Linked DNA regions of Oryzias latipes. The protein of the gene in region 1 binds, or shares a complex with, the protein of each later gene. Links are inferred from orthologs where the notes say so. Each region holds a gene or a part of one and is shown in the gene's direction. Other genes may lie near its edges.

The links.
Region 2: uxt (region 1) and ASNSD1 upstream open reading frame protein share a complex: the UniProt entries of both Homo sapiens proteins name them as parts of the PAQosome complex. The link is inferred for Oryzias latipes from reciprocal best matches to the Homo sapiens genes UXT and ASDURF.

The regions. Positions count from the first base shown.
Region 1 is NC_019865.2:33,763,338-33,773,373, reverse strand, and holds the start of uxt (protein UXT), read left to right. Parts: upstream 1-4,630; 5' UTR 4,631-4,753; coding exon 4,754-4,851; intron 4,852-10,036. Other genes in the region: cdk20 (cyclin-dependent kinase 20), read right to left, coding at 1,288-1,476, 3,690-3,803, 3,886-3,966. UniProt on the Homo sapiens protein: Involved in gene transcription regulation. Acts in concert with the corepressor URI1 to regulate androgen receptor AR-mediated transcription. Together with URI1, associates with chromatin to the NKX3-1 promoter region.
Region 2 is NC_019879.2:16,670,065-16,679,790, forward strand, and holds ASNSD1 upstream open reading frame protein, read left to right. Parts: upstream 1-3,604; 5' UTR 3,605-3,683; coding exon 3,684-3,764; intron 3,765-4,054; coding exon 4,055-4,108; intron 4,109-4,204; coding exon 4,205-4,280; intron 4,281-4,394; coding exon 4,395-4,435; 3' UTR 4,436-4,445; downstream 4,446-9,726. Other genes in the region: asnsd1 (asparagine synthetase domain-containing protein 1), read left to right, coding at 4,446-5,843, 5,977-6,158, 8,622-8,868; uncharacterized protein LOC101162167, read right to left, coding at 9,039-9,159.

The DNA.
Region 1 (10,036 bases):
TGGGTTATTATTACATTTTAGGCAGATATATTTAAACTGACACACATATCAGCGCGCCCCCTGGTGGTTTTTCACCGCGATGATTATAAATCCAACACCGTCACTGAAGAGACACTGAAGCATGTCAGAGATGTGGAAGACATGGCAGGAATAGATAGGAATATGTTAGATGGAGTGACGGGTGGAATTAGTACTATGGACAGCAAGATATTTAATGAATGCATTGAAGATGAAACTGTATGCACTAAGCTTTAAGCTGAATGTCAAAGAATCAAAGGCAACTCAAAATACCTGAATCTCAGACTCAAACGGAGTATAATGTCAAAGTACTTAATTTTGTTTTTCTTTACAACACTGTAAGCAGTAAGTATTTCTAGTTAGCTGAATGATCTCAGTAATTTAATTGTATTTAATTTTTCAATTATTTAATTTAATTAGGTAACTAAAGTAACTAAAAAGTAAATGTAACTTTGCAACAGTAACAAAAAGCAGAACCTTAAGGCAGTCAGAGCAAAAAAGTCAATAAAACTTCTTAACTATTGATTAGGAACAAATGTGAAATAGCAGTGATTAGAGGCAGCATGAAAACTTCTTAACTAGTGTTAACTACTACACTGCAGTGCTCTCTTCAAAAAATCTGAAACAGACTAGAGCAGATTTGAGTTTGATATGGTCTATTTTCAGTCATTGAAAAGTGTATAAATAAGTGCTAGATGTCACCAGAATGCACCAAATTGCACCATATTAAAATTTTCCGGGGGCATGCACCCGGACCCCCCAAAAGTTGCAAGCACCTGCGGAGCGGCGGGTCTCGCTGTGGGCGGTGTCGGGCCAGTAACTTTCAAAAACTACTGGCCCTCTGGGCCAGTGCAAATTTCTGGGCTATGTCAACCCCTGATATGCCACAGTCAGTTCTGTTGTTTTGATTTTTTTTACACAAAAAAACCAAAGGGATAAAATAAGTTGACTTTGTATGAGTTAATGAACCTGATTGACCAAGACCAGACCAGAAAGGGTGACCGCAAAGAACCCGATAGCAACAAAGTGGCACGAAACAGCGGTCAACAGAAATAAACACCCCAAGATCTCCTCTCCTTCATTCCAACTGCAGGTGAGAAAGTGCTCATCTAGTATTCCACCCAGGGGTCGCTAATAAACAAATTAAGAAAGGTGAAACATGCAAAACTACTAAGTAGAAAAGGAAATGTGCAAATACACTACATTTTGGCTCCTTCCTTTACCAAGAGAAAAACCTGACTACCACGTTTTCTACACACAGGCACTCACCCGATGCATGATGTTGTTTTGGTGTAGAAAGGCCACACCCTTTAGCAACATCACCATGTAGCCTTTGACCTGTGCTGGGGTCAGATGTCGCTGGTGGTTTCTGATCACCTCAGAGAGATCTGACAGCATGAAGTTGAAGACCAGGACAAAGCCTGTGCCGTGAGGAAAGACGTCCTTCAACTTTACCACCTGAAAAAGGCAGACAGAGAGGCTTCACTCACCCACAACCTTTTCAAGTCAACACCAAAGTCCAGCTGACTAAAGGGTATTCCCTTCTCAGACCAATGACAAGCCTGGACAGCCTCCGTCAGGTCCCTGAGTCTGTCACCTTCATGGTCTCAGTCAGGTCTGTGGTCTCAGGTTGCCGAACACACGCATGTTGTTTGCACATCTTCACTTCACCACTGAAGAACTTGGTTTCCGCGTGTTAATATATGTGTTGATGTGCTTACTGGGATAGCTTATACTGTGATTTAGATTCAGAACAAGGTACAGTAGACGTAGCAGACTTTTGTGAGCCAACGGCGGCTTTCTCATGATTTGGATCGATATCACAGCTTCGTGAAAGGTACAAGATAAAATAGGTCCCCAAAACCACCGACTAAACATTGAGGAAACTTGATGAAATGCGCGACATTCGTCGTTGCAGACCCGAACCCCACACGTCACATTGTGACAAACAATTCCAGTCTCAGTTGGGTCCATGTTCTCTGTGAGGTCATTGGTCCTTGTTCCAAGTAAGTTTGTTGGTTTCTAGCCTCAGCATGGTCTATTGGGTCATTGATGTCCGTTAGGTCCAAGTCTTTATCAGATACTTTTTTTTGTCAGGTCATTGGTCTCTATCAGTTCCCTGCTCTCTGCCAGATCAGTGCTTTTTGTCGTGTCCCAGTCTCTAGCAGATCCTTAGTCTCTGTCAAATCCTGTTTTGTTCTTTTCTCTGATGCTGTTCTGCTGTATAGAACAATTCAGTACTGTACAGTTGTGGCCAAAAGTTTTGAGAATGACAGAAATATTAGTTCTCACAAAGTTTGCTGCAACACTGCTTTAGATCTTTGTTTCAGTTTTTTTGCTGCTTAAGTTTTTATAATAGAAATTTGCATATAATCAAGAATGTTATGAGTGATTAGATGAATTGCATAGTCCTTCTTTGCCATGAAAATTAACATCATCCCAAAAAAACCTCCCACATTCTCAAAACCTTTGGCCATGACTGTACAGTCAGTTGGAGAATGACTCAAATCGTAGTTTTCACAGAGTTAGCTGCTAACCTGCATTTAGATCTTTGTTTCAGTTTTCTCTGTAATATAACTGAAATAGAATTACAAGCACTTCATACGCTTCAAAGGCTTTTATCAACAATGACATCAGTATTTGCAGTGTTGGCCCTTCTTTTTCAGAACCTCTGCAGTTCCAGTGGACATGCTCTCTATCAACTTCCTGACTGATAGTAACCCATTCTTTCAGAATCACTTCTTGGAGTTTGTCAGAATTAGTGGGTTTTTGTTTGTCCAACCGCCTCTTGAGGATTGACCAAAAGATCTGAGGAGTTTCCAGGCCATGGACCCACAATTTCAACGTTTTGGTCCCAGAGCCACTTAGTTATCACTTTAGCCTTATGGCCCGGTGCTCCATGGTTCTGGAAAATGCATGTTTGTCACCAAAATGTTGTTGGAAGAAGTTATTGTTGGAGGGTGTTTTGGTACTATTCTTTATTCATGGCTGTGTTTTGGGCTGAATTGTGAGTGAGCCCCCTCCCCTGGATGGGAAACAACCCCACACATGAATGGTCTCAGGATGCTTTACTGTTGGCGTCACACAGGACTGATGGTAGCGCTCACCTTTTCTGCAGATTCCCCAAGCAATCAGAAATGTTTTTGGAGAGAAGTGGCGTCTCTCCAAAAATGTTCTTTATGATCCTATAAATTGTTGATTTAGATGCAATCTTAGTTGCCACAATACCCTCCCCTTTGAATCAATTTTTATGCAATACAGTGATGGCTGCACACGTTTCTTTGCAGGTTACCATGGTTACCAATGGAAGATTAATGATTCCAGGCATCACCCTCCTTTTAACATGTCAAGTCTGCCATTCTAACCCCATCAGCCTGACAGAATGATCTCCAGCCTGGTGCTCGTCAACATTGTCACCTGAGTTAACAAGACGATGAATGAAATGATCTCAGCTGGTTCTTTAATGACACCAATGAAATGCCGTGGAAAGAGTTTTGGGGGATTAAGTTCATTTTTATGGCAAAGAAGGACTATGCAATTCATCTGATCATCATAACATTATGGAGTATATGCAAAATGCTATTATATGTATTTAAGCAGCAATTATTTTCCAATTTCCAACAATATTTACGTCATTCTCCAAACCTTTGACCACGACTGTACACACTCACGTGCTGGTTGTCCTCAATCTCCTGCAGAGCCTTGATCTCCCTCAGAGCCTGATTGGGAATGCCGTCCTCCAGCTTCCTCAGAGCCACCTTCTTTAGAGCCACAGTTTCCCCGGTCTGTCAGAAACACGTTCATCCATCAGCCTGAATGATCACCTGTTCAGGTGTCTGTTTTTTCTGCTCCATGAACATGTTTCACCTGCACGTGCTTGGCCTTAAACACGATTCCGTGAGCCCCTTCTCCAATCCGGCCTAGGATGCTGTACTGCTCCATGATCATCCAGGACCCCTGCAGCTGCAGCGGGGATCTTTATGGACTTGGACTTGTTCCTTTACTTAACGGTTTTTAGTCCACGGGTTTTAAGAGCGGGGCTCCGGCGCGTCCAACCAAAATAAGCACGACATTTTGAACGGAACGAGACCGGAAGTGGGCGCTGATGTTGCCTCGGTCACATCTGATAAATAAAACTACGAAACTTTAGTATATCGTTGAATATTTAGTATAGTGCTGGATATTTACTTGATGCGTAAAGCTGATGACATGTACGCGACACCAAATGTGCGCTGTCCTTTGGCACTTGACGAGATATTTTGAAAACGTTTCAACTATAGTCAACGCAGCTCTCCGCCATGTTTGTTGACAGTGACGTCATCACAGGACAATCCAAATCAACGAAAATAAAACAACGAAGAAGAATAAATAAAATTAGCACAACCAGCCATTAAACAAAAACATATATATTTTAAAATTCATATTCACATAAGGTTTAACCCGGGAATTAGTTTATGAATAATTGCCACGTTCTATATATCTGGTAGAATATGGAAGAATAAATGTAAGTGAAAATGACCAAATAACAACTGTTTGCACAAAGTGCTTTAAACATAAAAAGAAATTAAATGTTCTTTTTTCTGCTCCTCTTCTACGCTGAAACCTGGAAGTATCTTGTCGGAGTACTTCCGGTTCAGAATCTTGTTTAGATGACTGCATGTGGGGCTGTGAACTTCTTTACAAGTGTCTGAGCTGAACCGGCCCGCAGAGCCCCCGCATTAGCCCCCCATCCCCGATGACTCCGCCCACAGACGCCGGTTCTGACTCGAGGATGGAAGAGAAGGTCCTTCAGTATGAAAGATTCATCGAGGAAGTTCTGAGGAGAGACCTGCGGTAAGCCCCTCTGGGTTCTGCTCCGGTTCTGAAAGTCCCCCTCTGATGAAAATCATGTTTTGTGACATTGTGGTATTTGTCTTATGAAATACAACAAATGGAATTAGACATGGTTTCATTTTTGCATTTCTGAGTGTTTCTCCTTTTAAACCGCTGTCAATCAAACTGTCTCAAAGACGCTCTGTTTGAACTAATGCGGTGTTGTGACGTCACAAAGGCCCAGGGGAGTATTCCAGAAAGCAGGTTATGCACCCACTATTGGAGAAAAATTGCCCCAGATATTGAATGGAAGAAAGTTTGGACTTTGTCCTCTAAATATTTTATTTCAAATAAACCCCGGGATGTTTGTTTTAAACTTCTTCACAGATGCTACCCAGCCAAATCCTCATTACACATAGACATTGATAAAAATTGCTCCTTTTGTAAATTAGACACTGAAACAATTATACATCTTTTCTGGAAATGCCCCCCAACAGCAATTTTTTGGAAAGACCTTACCTCCTTTGTTCGATGTTAAATTTATGAAAAATTTGATTTGGTATACAAGGATATATTATTTGGTTTTTATAGTGTTAATAATTCACTAAGAAGGGAATACTATTTAATTAACCTTTTGATAATACTAGCCAAATTCCACATACATAAATGCAAATTTTCTGAAAAAAAGCCCTTATTCAAACTTTTTATGATTGAGTTGAACCAATATATCAAAGCAATAAAACATTCTTCCAACCCCAAAGCTATAAGAACCTTTGACACCCTGGAATTTTTTTAAATGTACAGAATAGCAACTTACTGCTTTTTCTGCTCTTGTTTATAATTTTTTTTTTCTTCTTTCTTCTCCTTTGTTCTTTTGTTCCCCTGGCACATTTTGTTACTCTTTTTTTTTATCTGTGTACTTAAAATTTACTTGAATGAGTATCTTGTATATCTTCAATAAAGTTTATTAAAAAAAAAAAAAAAGAAAGCAGGTTATGCTAGCTCCCTCGGTACGTTTGAGGCTAAGGAAGTTGATAACCTCAGCTTTCAGTTCCAGAAATAGAGGTATGTTTCAGGTTATGTCAAGTTGCCATAGCAACTCATGCTCTGAACATAACCTGGTCTGGAGCAGGTTTAGTTGAAGGTTAGTTTGTTTACAGAGAGGTGAAGCAGCATGGCGTGTCCATTTGAAGATGATTTAGTGGATGAAGAAGCTCAGATAATACTTTTTACACCATGAGAGGGTGATAAGACCACATATGGATGTTGGAAAGATAAACTTTTTTACTTTGATCTAACTTCATTATTTGCTTCAGTTAAGATAAATAATTTTTTTCAGTTCAGTCAACTTAAAAATAACACATAGTTGTCAGACAGTTATTTTACTTTCATTCAAATTAATTCAATTGAGTAGGTGTAACTTTGGTGCTGCTGTTAGATCGGCACCGCAAGGGATTGTGGGATAGCATTCCCTTTGCCTGTCTGGACGGATTTGGGTTTAAGTGTGGCTTTTTGACCAAATGTGTTTAGTTGTTTAGCTGTTTTTATTGTGTTTTGCCCAGTTATTTGTCCTACTATGCTTAGGTCTCTGCACCATGAGGGAGAGGATGATGAGATTATATATATGTTATATATAGAGAGACCTGAAAGAAAACCTAAAGTTCAGGAGGTCAGAGCAGGCTGGCTCCCCATCCTGCAGCAGGTCTCTGTCTGGCCCCCAGCTCGCCTCCTGGGAGCCGCATAGTGAGATCAACCGCTCCAGCTCCATGGGCCCTGGGACAGACTGTCCAGGCTTTAGCCGCCTTTGTTCAACAGCAGCTGGTGTAGGTAGCATAACCATTCAGCCTGCAATAACCGTTTGGGGTCCTTTCGACTGAGGATGATGTCACATTACGGTAGCCCCACTTGGACAAACTACGTAGCGTGGAGATCTGCTCGGGCTCTACATATTCTCATTTCACGTTTCCTTTTATAACATAAAGTTCTTTTCCCTCTTAAGTTGTGTCTGACATTATTCTTTGTAGTGTTTATAGAGATTTTGCCACAACCCCCTTTGTAAAGATCTGTGGCTGCTAGAATGAACCTGCTGCTCCACAGAGTGAACCCTGTCTCTGAGCAGAGCAGCTGGAGTCTCGTAGCTTCGTGTTTACAGGCAGGGAAGCTGCTTTGTCATAGTGTGCGGTCTGGAGAAGGGTTCTGAACGCAGTCCATTCATCTGCAATGCACCTAATAATAATCATAATATTAAAAGCACGTTTAGAAGATAATGTCGCTCTGTGTCGGAGCTCTGTTTGTTTACAACGGACCGTATAATATCTTCTTCTATGGTAGTATTGTCATTTGTCCAGACCAATCACTACCTGACACGTCATTGGACCAACAGACAGTCATCACATAATGTGACGTCAGCACTAGTCGAAGGACCCTGAACGGTTGTTGCAGGCCGAACTGTTATGGTACCTACACTGGGACGGTACTGAAAAAAGTCCAGCGCTTGCCGGACTTATTTGGAAAATTGCAAGAGAATTGTTACTTTCTTTCTGGCCTTTCATTTGAATTGCTGTGCAAGTGAATTCAACAATCTGCATGTCGTTGCATCAAATCAGTGCTGCTTGCTGGTGCAATGTAAAATCTAAATTATAACGTCATTTAAAGCATTTTTCGCGTTCTTATCAAAGTTCTTTTTGGTGTGTAAGTTCATTAAACAGCAGGGTCTGCTACACACATTCATTCTGTCATTTTGTGCAAAAAGTGTCGATTTGGAACCTGTTACTTTTCACCGTTTCTTGATCAAAGAGAAACTTTTGGGACTGTAGAGACTGTCAGTCGGTGGTTTCAAGCTCTTCACTCATGATTTGATTTGATTTGATTAATTTCAATCATTGTAGTCAAAGAAATAAAGAAAATTTCACATATTTATCAAACTCATTACAGAAATGATAAAATGCATAGCTTAAAAAGACAAAAAGTTAAGTGGAGTTTGATTTATTGCTTGAAAAGAAGCGGGATGAAGAGGGTTTATATAACCCCACCCCTACTGAGTTAGTATATTTGATAGTTTTACAGTTTTTGAAATCCGGTTCTGATCAAATTATCATTTTTTTTTTTTAACTTGTCCTGTCCAACAGCTAGGCAGACAGATGAGAGCTGAGGGCCTCTTGTGTTGGACATAATTTACTTTAACAAGAGGGGTTATTAATCTTCAGACAAACCAAAGGTATGTCTGAATAAACCCCTTTTGTAATTGAGGCCAAACTTTATTAATTTCAATCATGTCTGAAAATCTTTGGTGTTGGACCGGACGGAAAAGGAAAGAGGGGAAGAAGAGAGAGGGACGTTAGAGAGAGGGGGGGTAGGGGGTGATAATAGGAGGGGAAGGGGGATAAGACCATGAAGCAGCATAAAGCAACAAGTTTACTGGTTGTTAATCATTATGGTAAGGTTCAAATGTAGAAAAAAAGAAAGAAAAAAAAGGGGCGGAGCCTGTCCACACACACACTCAAATGTTTTAAACACACCTGCTAGCTGCAGGTGTTCTTCTAAAATGGATGGTGGAACGTGAAAAGAAGGAGGGAGAGTGCCCAGCCATCCCCACCCCAAGACCCCCACCGCAGCAGCAGCGGCAGCCGGAATCCCCCCAACGCCACACGGGAACCGGCAGGGAACAACCGCCGCCCGGGCGACCAAGCCCGCCACCCAGGCCAGGGCCAGCAGGGCCGCCGCAAGGCCCCCAGAGCCAGAGGCCAGGGACGCACAGAGGAAAAGACAGCGCCGCCCCCGCCCAACCAGGAGAGCAGCCCCCCCGCCGCGCCGGGAGAACCCAACGCAGGGCCCCACCGGAGAAGGACGCCCACAGCCCCAAACGAGCACCCCACCACCACCCAGGAGTTCCGGGCATCCCCCCGCCCCAACCCCAGGTACGAGCCAGGACCCCCCAAGGGAGACCCGCTCCGCACTCCAGGCAGCCACCCGCCCGGTCCACGGTTGGTCCAGGGAGGAGCGAGGCAGGGGCCCGCCGCCCCCGCCCAGGAGGGGGGAACCCCGGGGAAAAAAGAGGGCCCACAAGGGGTGTTGTAAATATGGCCCGACCAGGCTCGGCCACAGTTGGAAATTTGGCGGGGCCCAGCACTCAGGAGCAAGGACCAGAACCCACCCCCCAGGGACCAGACACCCCCGGCTCAGATGTAATGTGAACCCCCCCACCGCGCGGAGAGAGCACCGCCGGGCCCAGGAAGCCGGCACCCCGGGGACACGGCCGCCGCTGCAAAGGGGCCCGTACCCCCCACCAGGGAAGAGGCAGGGGACAGACGGACCCAGGTCCCACCTTCCTTGCAAAATGTGTGTGCGTGTAGATGTGTTTGAAAGGGTGTGTGTGTGCATGTGGGTGTGTTTATGTTGGGATGTATATATTGAGGGGGGAGGGGTGTGTGTACTAAGGGGGGTGCGGTTAAAATTGGCGGGTAGGGCACTAAGGGGACATCTCCTGATTACTCACAGTGACGTCCCCTCACCCTCCCCACCAAGGGGCCCTAAATGTCTAAGGTGCGGTTAAAATTGGCGGGTAGGGTGCTAGGAGGACATCCGCTGCTTGCTGGCAGTGATGTCCAAGCACCCCCCCTACCAAGGGCCCTACATGTCTAAGGTGCAAATAAAACCGAAAGAGGGGGGGCCCACTCCATACGGCAACCACAGGAGGGGGGCCACTGCCTAGTAAACCCCCCCCCCAAGGCTCATCGCAGGCTAAGCCCCCCACCCCCTCACCCTATTATGAGGTTATATGAGGAAGGGGGTAAGTTGGGGACAGATGATAGACTGTCCCCCGGTGGTCAAACAGCTGTCCCCCGCCCCCCCCCCCCCCCCCAGCAAGGGGGCCAGGCCCACCCAGCCCCGGGGCCCCACCCCCGGAGGCGCAGACACCCCAGGCCCAGCACCACCACCCCCACACAGAGAGAGAGGAGCCAGAAAGCGCCGGCCCCCCCCGGAGCAAGCCCAGGCCCCCACCCCCAAACGGCGGCCCTAGAAGAGCTCTGGTCAGGCCTCGACGGGACCGAGGCAGCCAACCTGCCGGGGAAACCGCCGATGGCCTCAGCGGAGACCCCGACCCGTCAACCCCCTCTGCCCCGTACCAATAGTGCCCCCCCCCCTCCCCCAGAATGCCCCCCCACAGGACAGGGCCGACAAGACCCCCACCCCACCCCCACCCCAG
Region 2 (9,726 bases), on another chromosome or scaffold:
GAAAAAAGGTCTGCCCCCTGAACTGCAGCTGTCACTCATCAGCACATTTTTACAGACATTGTCAGCTCAAAGACATCATGTCAAACCAGTTTTTGTGGACATTGGTGGAAAAACGATGCTCATTAAATGGCTCACAGCCACCAGTACTCAACAAAAAAGGGATACAAAGTGGAAGTATTGCAGTGGCTTTCTCAGACTCCTATCTGAAAGCTGTGGGAAGACTTTGGGAGAATTTTGCACAAGTATATCACTGGAACTCTCAACAATCTATTTTTTTTAATAAAGAAAACAGTCAAAGTAATTTTGTTCTAACATGTAAAACTAAGAATATAATGTTTGAAAAAAATCTTTAAAGCTTTTGTTGCAAATAAAGATTATTTAAAAGTACCATTCATTTTCATCATGTCTTTAAAATTCTCAAACTGGTTTAGTGTTTGTTTTTTGTGTGGATCTAGGATTGTTTTGTTTAACCTTTACGGCCACAATCGCAAAATCTCTTAACTGGTCAGACCAGTTTTTATAGATTTTCTCTGCAGTGTGCATGCTCAAACAAACACAAAACAAATGCACCCTGTCAAATTTTTACTGCGCTTTAGGCCTAAAAAAGGGTCACAAATAAGCTTTAGATTTTTCTTTTTTCTTCTTCTGCAAGATTGATCCAACAAATTTTTACCAAAAAAGTGGCTTTACCAAACTTTGACGAAACTCTGTTTTCTTCTACTTACTTATTGAGGACGTTATTTACAAAGTTTGTGTTAATTGTCAAATTTGGTGAAAGTTTTTCAGATGATGAGTTGATAAAAAAAAAAAGATTTAAATTCTTTAAAGCTCATAAGTTTAAACTTTTCTTTTCTATTTATAGACTTGTAAGCATAAAAAAATTTGATGAAAACAATGTGGCTCTAGTCTGTTTTGGAAACTTTTTTATGATTTGAAAGGTTTACACCGGCCTCAAAACTGACAGCTAAAGACAACATATTCATTTTTAACTAAGGAAACTCCACAAAGGCCAAGTGAGAAAATGACAATGCGGAACTTTAACTAAAATCTCAAAAGGATTTTGCTGATTTTTAAACATGTTTGTCAATTTTTTGATGGAAACTATGAATATACTCCCTTCAATTGCAGCACAATAAATGATGGTTGATTTTAGATGAGAGCAGGAACACCCCTGATTCCATGACAACAACCGTGTCATCCATTGATTGTCTTGATACAAAGTTAGCACCCAGGTTGTGAATTATAGCATAATGTAATTTAGAAAGCAAAATAACTATAAAATTGCAGCTGCTTTTGTTGTTCCTGTAATTAACCATTCAGCATGTCACTGCTGTGTTTTATGTATATGTAGTTTTAAGTGAAACCCACACTCTGGACATGTGAAACGAAATCAGGTGCATTTTTTCCTGGACCCCAAGCAGTTAGTCTGCTGTCTCATTGCATGAAGGAGCTAAACCGGCAGCCTTCACTAACATAAGAATATATTCTGAGTCAGGTTGTAACAATAGCTATGCCAATCCCATTGTGATCTATTCAGGGTTCACAGAAAACTCTCATCCTTTTCAAAATCCGCGCACATTGAGCTGGTACAAACAGATTACCAGCCACACTATTAGTGGGCCGGTGTCTCAGGTGGCTGTCATCAGCGGTTAGACGGCTGCTCTGTTATTTTGTGGCCATGTGACCTGCAGGTATGTCTGCCCCTTCTACAGCCCAGCTTTGGAACAACAAGCGGTGTTTACGTGGGCTAAATTTGTCCCTCCAGAATAAAAATATAAATATGACTCTGCTCCTGCGGCCTGATGCTTGAAGCCATGGCTAAAGAAGGGATCGAGAAGGAGCGTGGAAAATCTCACCTGGACCGAACCCTTAGTCTCTTTTGCAAAAGAGCTTGTAAGAAAAGTGGTTTTGAAGATTTAAAAAAAAATGTGTTGCAGGACTGGAGGCTGTCCTGGAGGTTTCTGCAAGCTCTTGAAAGTCTGCATTGAGACAAATAACCATCAAAGTGACTGGGAACATCAGAAACAATGATAATAATTACCTTTACCCATTTTAGAAGGATGATATTGTTGTGGTCTTATTGTTTCTGGGAATATCTCTCAGTACCTCAGACCTCTAAGACCCTGAGCCTGCCAACTCCACCAAAGAAAAATAAATACCAAAGGTCACTTTTTGACATGCTCACTGTGTCCAAAATGCTACAAGAAATAGCCAACAGTTGAAAACTGTTTTAAATCAATTCAGTTTAAGACCAATGTAGAACTTTACACAGGTGTGTTTGCCTAGAAACAGTTGTGTTTGCACTGAAAAGGTGTTTGACCCACTGCTGAAGAAAAATCAATCACATTCGTGTCATCTGTTGATCTCTACCAACAACTGCAAACTTTATTTTTTTCAATAATAATAGATCACCAGCAGCATAAATAAGGAAAAATACTATTTTAGCTTTCTCTCCATCTTAGGAGCTTCATGGCACAGTTTTGACTCAAACTGAAGAGTAAAAAAAACAAAACAACTATGAGGTATGCAAAAGCTATTTAAATGCTGAGAGACTTCAAAAGAAAAAAGGCAAAGACAAGGTTGAAATAAGCTGCAGAGTTCAGCAGGTATTTCAACATTCATTTTTTTTTGGTTGTGTGATCTTTGAGCAGGGAGGTGGGGGTTAGGTTGAAACTGCTTTTAAAGGGGGTTAAGCATCTGTTCGTCTACAGACAGATCAAGTCAACAAAAAGCTTTAGTCCCCGAAAAAATGCACTTGCATGTGTTATTTTTAATTTGATGATTCAACATCAGCAGATGAAAGCATGTCATATTATAACTAAAATATAAAAAAGCTAAATTATCTTAAGACAAGGCAGGTTGGTTTGTCTTCAGCCACTACTTTAGTTTAGTTTTACAAGTAAACAATGAAAAAATACTTTTTTAACTAGAGATACTGTTCCAGCCTAGCAACAATTGGCTGGAGGTGTATTTCCCCCCAAAAGCAATATTTTAAGAAGTGTTTCTGGGGTTAAAGTAAAGGGTAGGGTTAACAAAGGTGCAGCTTTCAGAGGCTCTGATGTCAGAAAAAAAAGGAAAAGAAAAAAAGGAACAAGACACAGACAGTTAATTGGGTGTTTTTAAAGACTACTTAATAGCTTCAGGTGGTTTTGAAAACTGATCAAAAATGATCAACATATCAGATGTGCAATGGATTCATTATTTAATTTATGCTTAATTGATTTTATTTAATCAGTGTTTCTTTTTGTTGCTTTTTTCTTATATGGAAGTGTCACTTTAAATGAAAATTAAAACCGGGTAGAAACAGAAAAGTCTAACTTCTTCTGTCTCGAACTTGCTTAGCTGATTAAATTTTAACCCAATTCCGTTTAAAAAACTTTTTTGTAGTAGCCCAATACTATTTTTTTAGTCTTAAGAAAGTAAATTACATCAAATCTGTTATTTAAAGACATTCTTATTCAATCTGTGTTTACCCCTTGGTTACCTATAATTTGGCAGGCCCCGGACCCTGAGATGTGTAGCGGGTGTTTTACAAATCTGGCCTCTAGGCGGCAGTGTGCTTCGAACTCCCCACCTATTTCTTCACCCGGAACGGTTATGACGCATATCCGGACATGTTTGTCGCAGAAGTAGACGCTGTTAAGAGAAAAATTAGATAAAAAGTTTTCCCTCGTGGCTCCTTTATGAAAATGTCTTCAAAAAAATACAATAACAGCGATAATTCCCAAGAGCAAACCACATATAAAGAGGAACTCAGTAAAAAGGTAACTTTATATCAAAGACGCGCTACTGTTAGCTGGCTAAACAACACGGATATGTTTATTCACCTTTTTCAGCATGTATAGTAGAACGGAAAAACGAATAGCAATACTTTTGTTAGTATTTACGCACCAATAGTATGTATTTACTGTTTTAATAAGTTTCGATTTTCTCATGTTTGCTGGAAAAATGAAGGACTGCTGATCTTTAAATTAAAACTTAACATGATGGGATACATCTCCTGATGGCTTCATCATCATAGGGTTGTTAACGTTAACTTGTTGCTAATTTCCAGATCAAAGAGCAAAAGGTCGTTGTGGATGAACTCTCTAACCTAAAGAAGAACAGGGTACGGTAATTACCTTTTTACATCCATCCATCCATAAATCCATCCATCCGTCGTAATAAATTCATTTTTTATTGATTTTTTTTTTCTTTTCTTCAGAAAGTTTACATCCAACAGAGAAACAGCAACATTTTCTTCCTGGCTGACAGAAGTCAAACATTGTCTACAAGCAGAAGTATGTGTTAGTATTCATTTATCCTCTTGCATTGAAATTTTTACAATGTTGTACCATACTACAATATAACTCACCTTTTTTTTTTTAAAACTTTTTTTATTTTTATTCTTGCAGAGGAACTGGATTACTTGAAAAAAGAACTGCAGGATATTTAGAGCTGCAACAATGTGTGGAATCTTTTTCCAGTTGACTTTGTCAGCTGCTCAATTTGAGAAGGACAAAAGAATTTATGAATTTCTGAAGAGAAGGGGCCCCAACTCTAGCAGGGAGCTATCGTTTCCTGCTGTAGATTTGAGCTATCACTGCTCATTTTCTGCCCATGTTCTCCATATGAGAGGCCTCCTTACTCTTCAGCCGTTTCAAGACGACGCTGGAAATGTCTTGATGTGGAATGGAGAGGTTTTTGGAGGGATTTCTGTGATGCCAGAAGAGAATGACACCACTGTCATCTGTCAGAAATTGTCATCTTGTAAAAACTCTTTGGAGGTTCTGGCACTTCTGTCTGCCATTCAAGGGCCTTGGGCATTTGTTTTCTATCAAAAGGCTGAAGATTATCTCTGGTTTGGGAGAGACCTTTTTGGAAGGCGCAGCTTGCTGTGGAAATATGACGCCGAGATCAGTGTCTTCACTTTGACCTCAGTGGCAGCTGGGATTTCTGCGCTGGGTCAGTCTGATTGGAAAGAAGTCCCAGCTGTTGGCGTGTTTAAGGTTGATGTAAAGGCAGCTGCACAGAGTGGTTCTGTGTCCTTTGAGCTTTTTCCCTGGGCAAGAAATGTCATAAACCCATCATTGAGTGAAATGATGGTTAACTCTGTCCCTAGTGGGTGCAATTTTGAGATAAATCGAGCAGGTTTATCAATCACTTCACCTGTTTGTCCTTTGAATATGTCCATTCCAGAAAAAAAGGTTGAAGTTAATCCCAGTTCACAGGTGTCTGGAGGAAATCTAGAGGAGTTTCTAATCAGCAAGGAGAAAACTGAAGTTGTGAACCGTCTAATTGGTGTCCTGAGTGAGGCGGTGAGGCGACGAGTTCATTCGTTGCCTTTTGTGGCAAAAGATAATTTACCTCTTAGCAGTGGCCAGGCTAGCATTGCTATACTCTTTTCAGGAGGCATTGATTCAATGATCCTCGCTGTCTTAGCAGACAAACATGTACCTGTTCATCAACCAATAGACCTTCTTAATGTGGCCTTTAAACTAAAAGAGCCAAAAAAGCAGCCTGAAAAGAAACTCAAAAAACAAAGAAATAAATCCAACAATTCAGAGACAGTTCAGGTCAGTTCTCTGTCGTCCAGTCCATTTGATGTCCCGGACAGGATAACGGGGAAAGCTGGCCTCAAGGAATTACAAGACCTGAATCCTGAGCGACAGTGGAATTTTGTTGAAATCAACATAACTCGAGAAGAGCTGCAACAAATGCGACAGGAGCGGATTTGCCACTTAGTTCATCCACTGGATACAGTACTAGATGATAGCATTGGCTGTGCTGTGTGGTTCGCAGCAAGAGGAAAAGGAGTCATTACAGAAGAGGAGGAGCAGAAACCCTTCACATCATCTGCTAAGGTGAAACACATCAGACTCTGAATCCTGCTCTTGACTAATCTGTCACTGTTGTGGTTTATGGTTACTGTGTGGAGTATGATGGATTGAAACGACTGTTGGAGAGAAATTTTGTGTTTCCTCTTTACACCTGCAGGTAATTCTGACAGGAATTGGTGCAGATGAGCAGCTCGCAGGCTACTCCAGACACAGAGTACGATTCTCAATGTCTGGGCATGAAGGGCTGATTCAGGAACTTGCCATGGAGCTGGCAAGAATATCATCCAGAAACTTGGGCAGAGATGACAGAGTGATAGGAGATCATGGGAAAGAAGCTAGGTAAGAGTTGAAACAAAGGTCACGCCGGCAGGAAAGACTTGGTTTTCACGTGTAATTACTATAACTCATAGTTCATTTGTTCACGCATTTGGGATTGTATTTTTTTTCTGTTTTTCTGGCAGAGTAAATTGTATCATATTTGTTAATTTTGCAGCCTCTGTGTTCAAATCAATAAATATGATAGCATTCTACTCATGTTAAAAATGTCACATATTAAACATCTTGTTTAAAAATCAAAGAAACTATTATTTGGGAAAGAATGCTTTTAAATCAAGCCTAGTTATATTTGCATATGAGAAACATGACATGATCATATAACAACTTGCTAGATTCCATAATGTCCAGTGCTTTTATTATAGGTCTGGATTTTAAATGATTGTTGAACATTACTGAATTAAGCTTTATGTAAAAGAATCCTAACTTCATTAAATCTGTGAATTTAGTTTCCTTTTAAGTATTTATTGTATTTTTTTAAGGCAAAAACGGCTTTGTTCATTTAAAAAAAAAAAAAAGATTGCTTTTTTAACAAAGTTTTAAACACACACAACACAAACGCCGCCAGTGTACAATTGAGAAACACAGCATAAATACCCACATACAGCAACAACACAGAAGGATTCGTCCCGAAAATGCAAAAGAAGGTAAACAATAGTCATCAGATGAGAGGCTGGGTTTTAGCCCCTGAAACTAGGGGAAGTAGAAGCCTTCCACTCCTTCAGAATAATCTTCTTAGCTATAATCATTCCAAACATGACTGCTTGTTGAGTTGAGTGGGACAGCTTCTGAGTTGGCAATATTTGGTTGTTCAGAGCAATCAGAACATTGGGAGTTATTTGTACATTGTAAACTGAACTAAACAACTTAAAAATATCCGACCAAAAATGTGTTAGCATAGGGCATGAGTAAAATGAATGAGATAAAGAACCTATACCAGTTTGACAGTGGTCACAGGTTGGTGAAACAGAAGAAAAAATTGTATGCAATCTTGTTTTGGAGTAATGCAAACGTGGATTACTTTAAACTGTGTGAGTTTAAGATGTGCACTTATAGAACAAGACTTGATCCCTTTCAAAGCGCTTATCCACAAACCAATAGGGATGTCTATTCCAATGTCATCTGCCCATGCAATCTTAATATGAGCAGTTGTTGGTGGTCGATAAAAGCATCTGACAAAATTTGAAATCAAATTTTTAGATGTCGACGCTTCAATCAAAACTTTGTCAAATATAGGTTGTGTTGGCAGTTGTTGAAACTGAGTTATAGCTTGTTTAACAAAGTGTCTGATTTGCAAATACCTGAAAAAATGACCCGGTGGGAGAGAGAACTTTTTTTGCAGTTGGTTAAAGGGTGCAAAATGATTGTCGATGTAGAGATCCTTAATGGATGAGAGGCCCTTTTTATCCCGGACTGTAAATGCAGGCTCTCACAGACCTGGTTGAAAAGCTGGATTCAGGCAAATGGGAGCGTGGATAGATAAGACCGGCAGACTGAGTACCTTCCTAATTTGCTTGATAATTCTATACGAATTGTACAAAAGAAAATCTATCCCAAATCCGTCAGGTCCGCAAGCCTTGTCGTTTAGAAATGAATGGATGTCAGACTTAACTTCTTCCAGCGTGAAATCAGCTTCCAAGTGTTGTCTTGCTGTATCACTTAAAGTGGGCGTGTCAAGGTTGTTAAGAAAACTGATTTTTTTCCTCCTTAGAGGACCCAGCTTTTGAGGTGTACACGTTTTTGTAGAAATCATGAAATGTTTTGTTTATTCTAAGTAGATCTGTAACTATTTCACCATTAAAGGATGTTTAGTTTAAGAATTGCCCTTTCAGCCCGGACACCTTTGAGTTGTCTGGCAAGAACACAATCAGCTTTATCACCGAGCTCAAACTGTTTTTGTTTACGTTTTTGTATATAATCACAAACCTGTTCACTGAGAATATGGCCATATTCCAGTTTAGCTTTCAAAATGTCGTTTAAGACTGCTTTGTTCATTTTTATTGTAATTAGGATTTTAACAAAACTTCCACCATTATTCAGTTTATATCACTGGTTATCTGAACATTGTTTTTTATTACCAAATAAAATTGTTTTTGAATCTATATTTTAACACGACTCAAAAACTTGTGAATCAAAATTGAACTGATTGCATATTTACCAGTGATACACAACCATGTTCACAAAATAAATGAGGGTCTGAAAGACCAACTAGTTTGATTAGATATAAGTAAAGAAAGCAGATGTATCCGTTTGGATACATCTATCTTGGGTATTTTTCTGTGTTCGTAATTGGAACTTTTAAGTTTCCCACTTAATTTAAAAGTCTGTCATGCTGATTTACATTTTTTATATAAATACAACTGTATATGACCTGCATCAGCAGTTAAATAGAATCTATGTGAACACTGTTGTCTCCAGTTATCATAGCATAATTGTCACTCTGTGTGATAACATTTGCTGTATCTACAGGTTTCCATACTTGGATGAAGAAGTGGTGAACTACTTGAACTCCTTGCCTGTGTGGGAGAAGGCTGATCTGTCTCTCCCTCGGGGGGTCGGGGAGAAGCTCCTCCTGAGACTGTCTGCTAAACAGCTGGGCCTCGGCCAATCAGCCGTCCTCCCCAAGAGAGCCATGCAGTTTGGCTCTCGCATCGCAAAGATGGAAGACGGCCACGAAAAGGCTTCTGACAAATGCACACGACTGCTTTACGACTAGATTGTGAACATTTTATTTTTTATTTGAAAATATATTTGCTGGAAAATATTACATCCAACATTAAAAGTATTATTTACATTCATGATTCTTTTTTTGTGAGTCAATTTTTATTTGGGCACAGAATTATTATTATTTTGTAAATGGTCCAAAACTTTCTGTTCTTGTTTTCTTTAAACCATATACGAATTTACATCCTGGAGATTGTTTTTAAAGTAAAGGTCACACTCAATATAGGAAGGCAAATTTCCAACGTCGAAACGTCCAGATATTTCATGAACATAAACTGGACTTCTGAAAAAAGAAAAAATGTTTTTAAACTTAATGAGCAGCAAAAACAGTTATGACAGTTATAGCTTCATGTTCAACTGCTGGTTTGAATTTATGCCTGTGCGGTTTACATATTAAAGTGCTTTCAAACAAAGTAGACCAGTCTTATTGAAAAAAAAAATCAATTTACCATCTTTGAGAGAATAACTGGATGAGATCAAATTAAAAGAAATTTGAGGTTCTGATATACTGTATATTCATTAAACCAGACCGCTTTATTTAGACATGTGGTCTTGTGCATTATGTGCTTCATCTTTCTAAATAATTTGAAGTCCACTCCGATCATCTTTGACCTACTGTAAAAGCCTTCCCAGTGGTCTTTCAATTATAATTATTCAATTTTTAGCCCAAAAAAACCTGTGGCCTTTTCTAGTACAGTTTCTGCAGAGTGGCAGTAGTTCACTAGTAATTCGCCTTTGAGTTGTGGACGGGAGCATTGCTGCGGATTAACTCCGCCCCACTTCCTCTCCCCGTTGCAGAGAGCTCTCTTTATGCGCTCTCCCGCTAGCTTACAGCCCCTTCAACCTAACA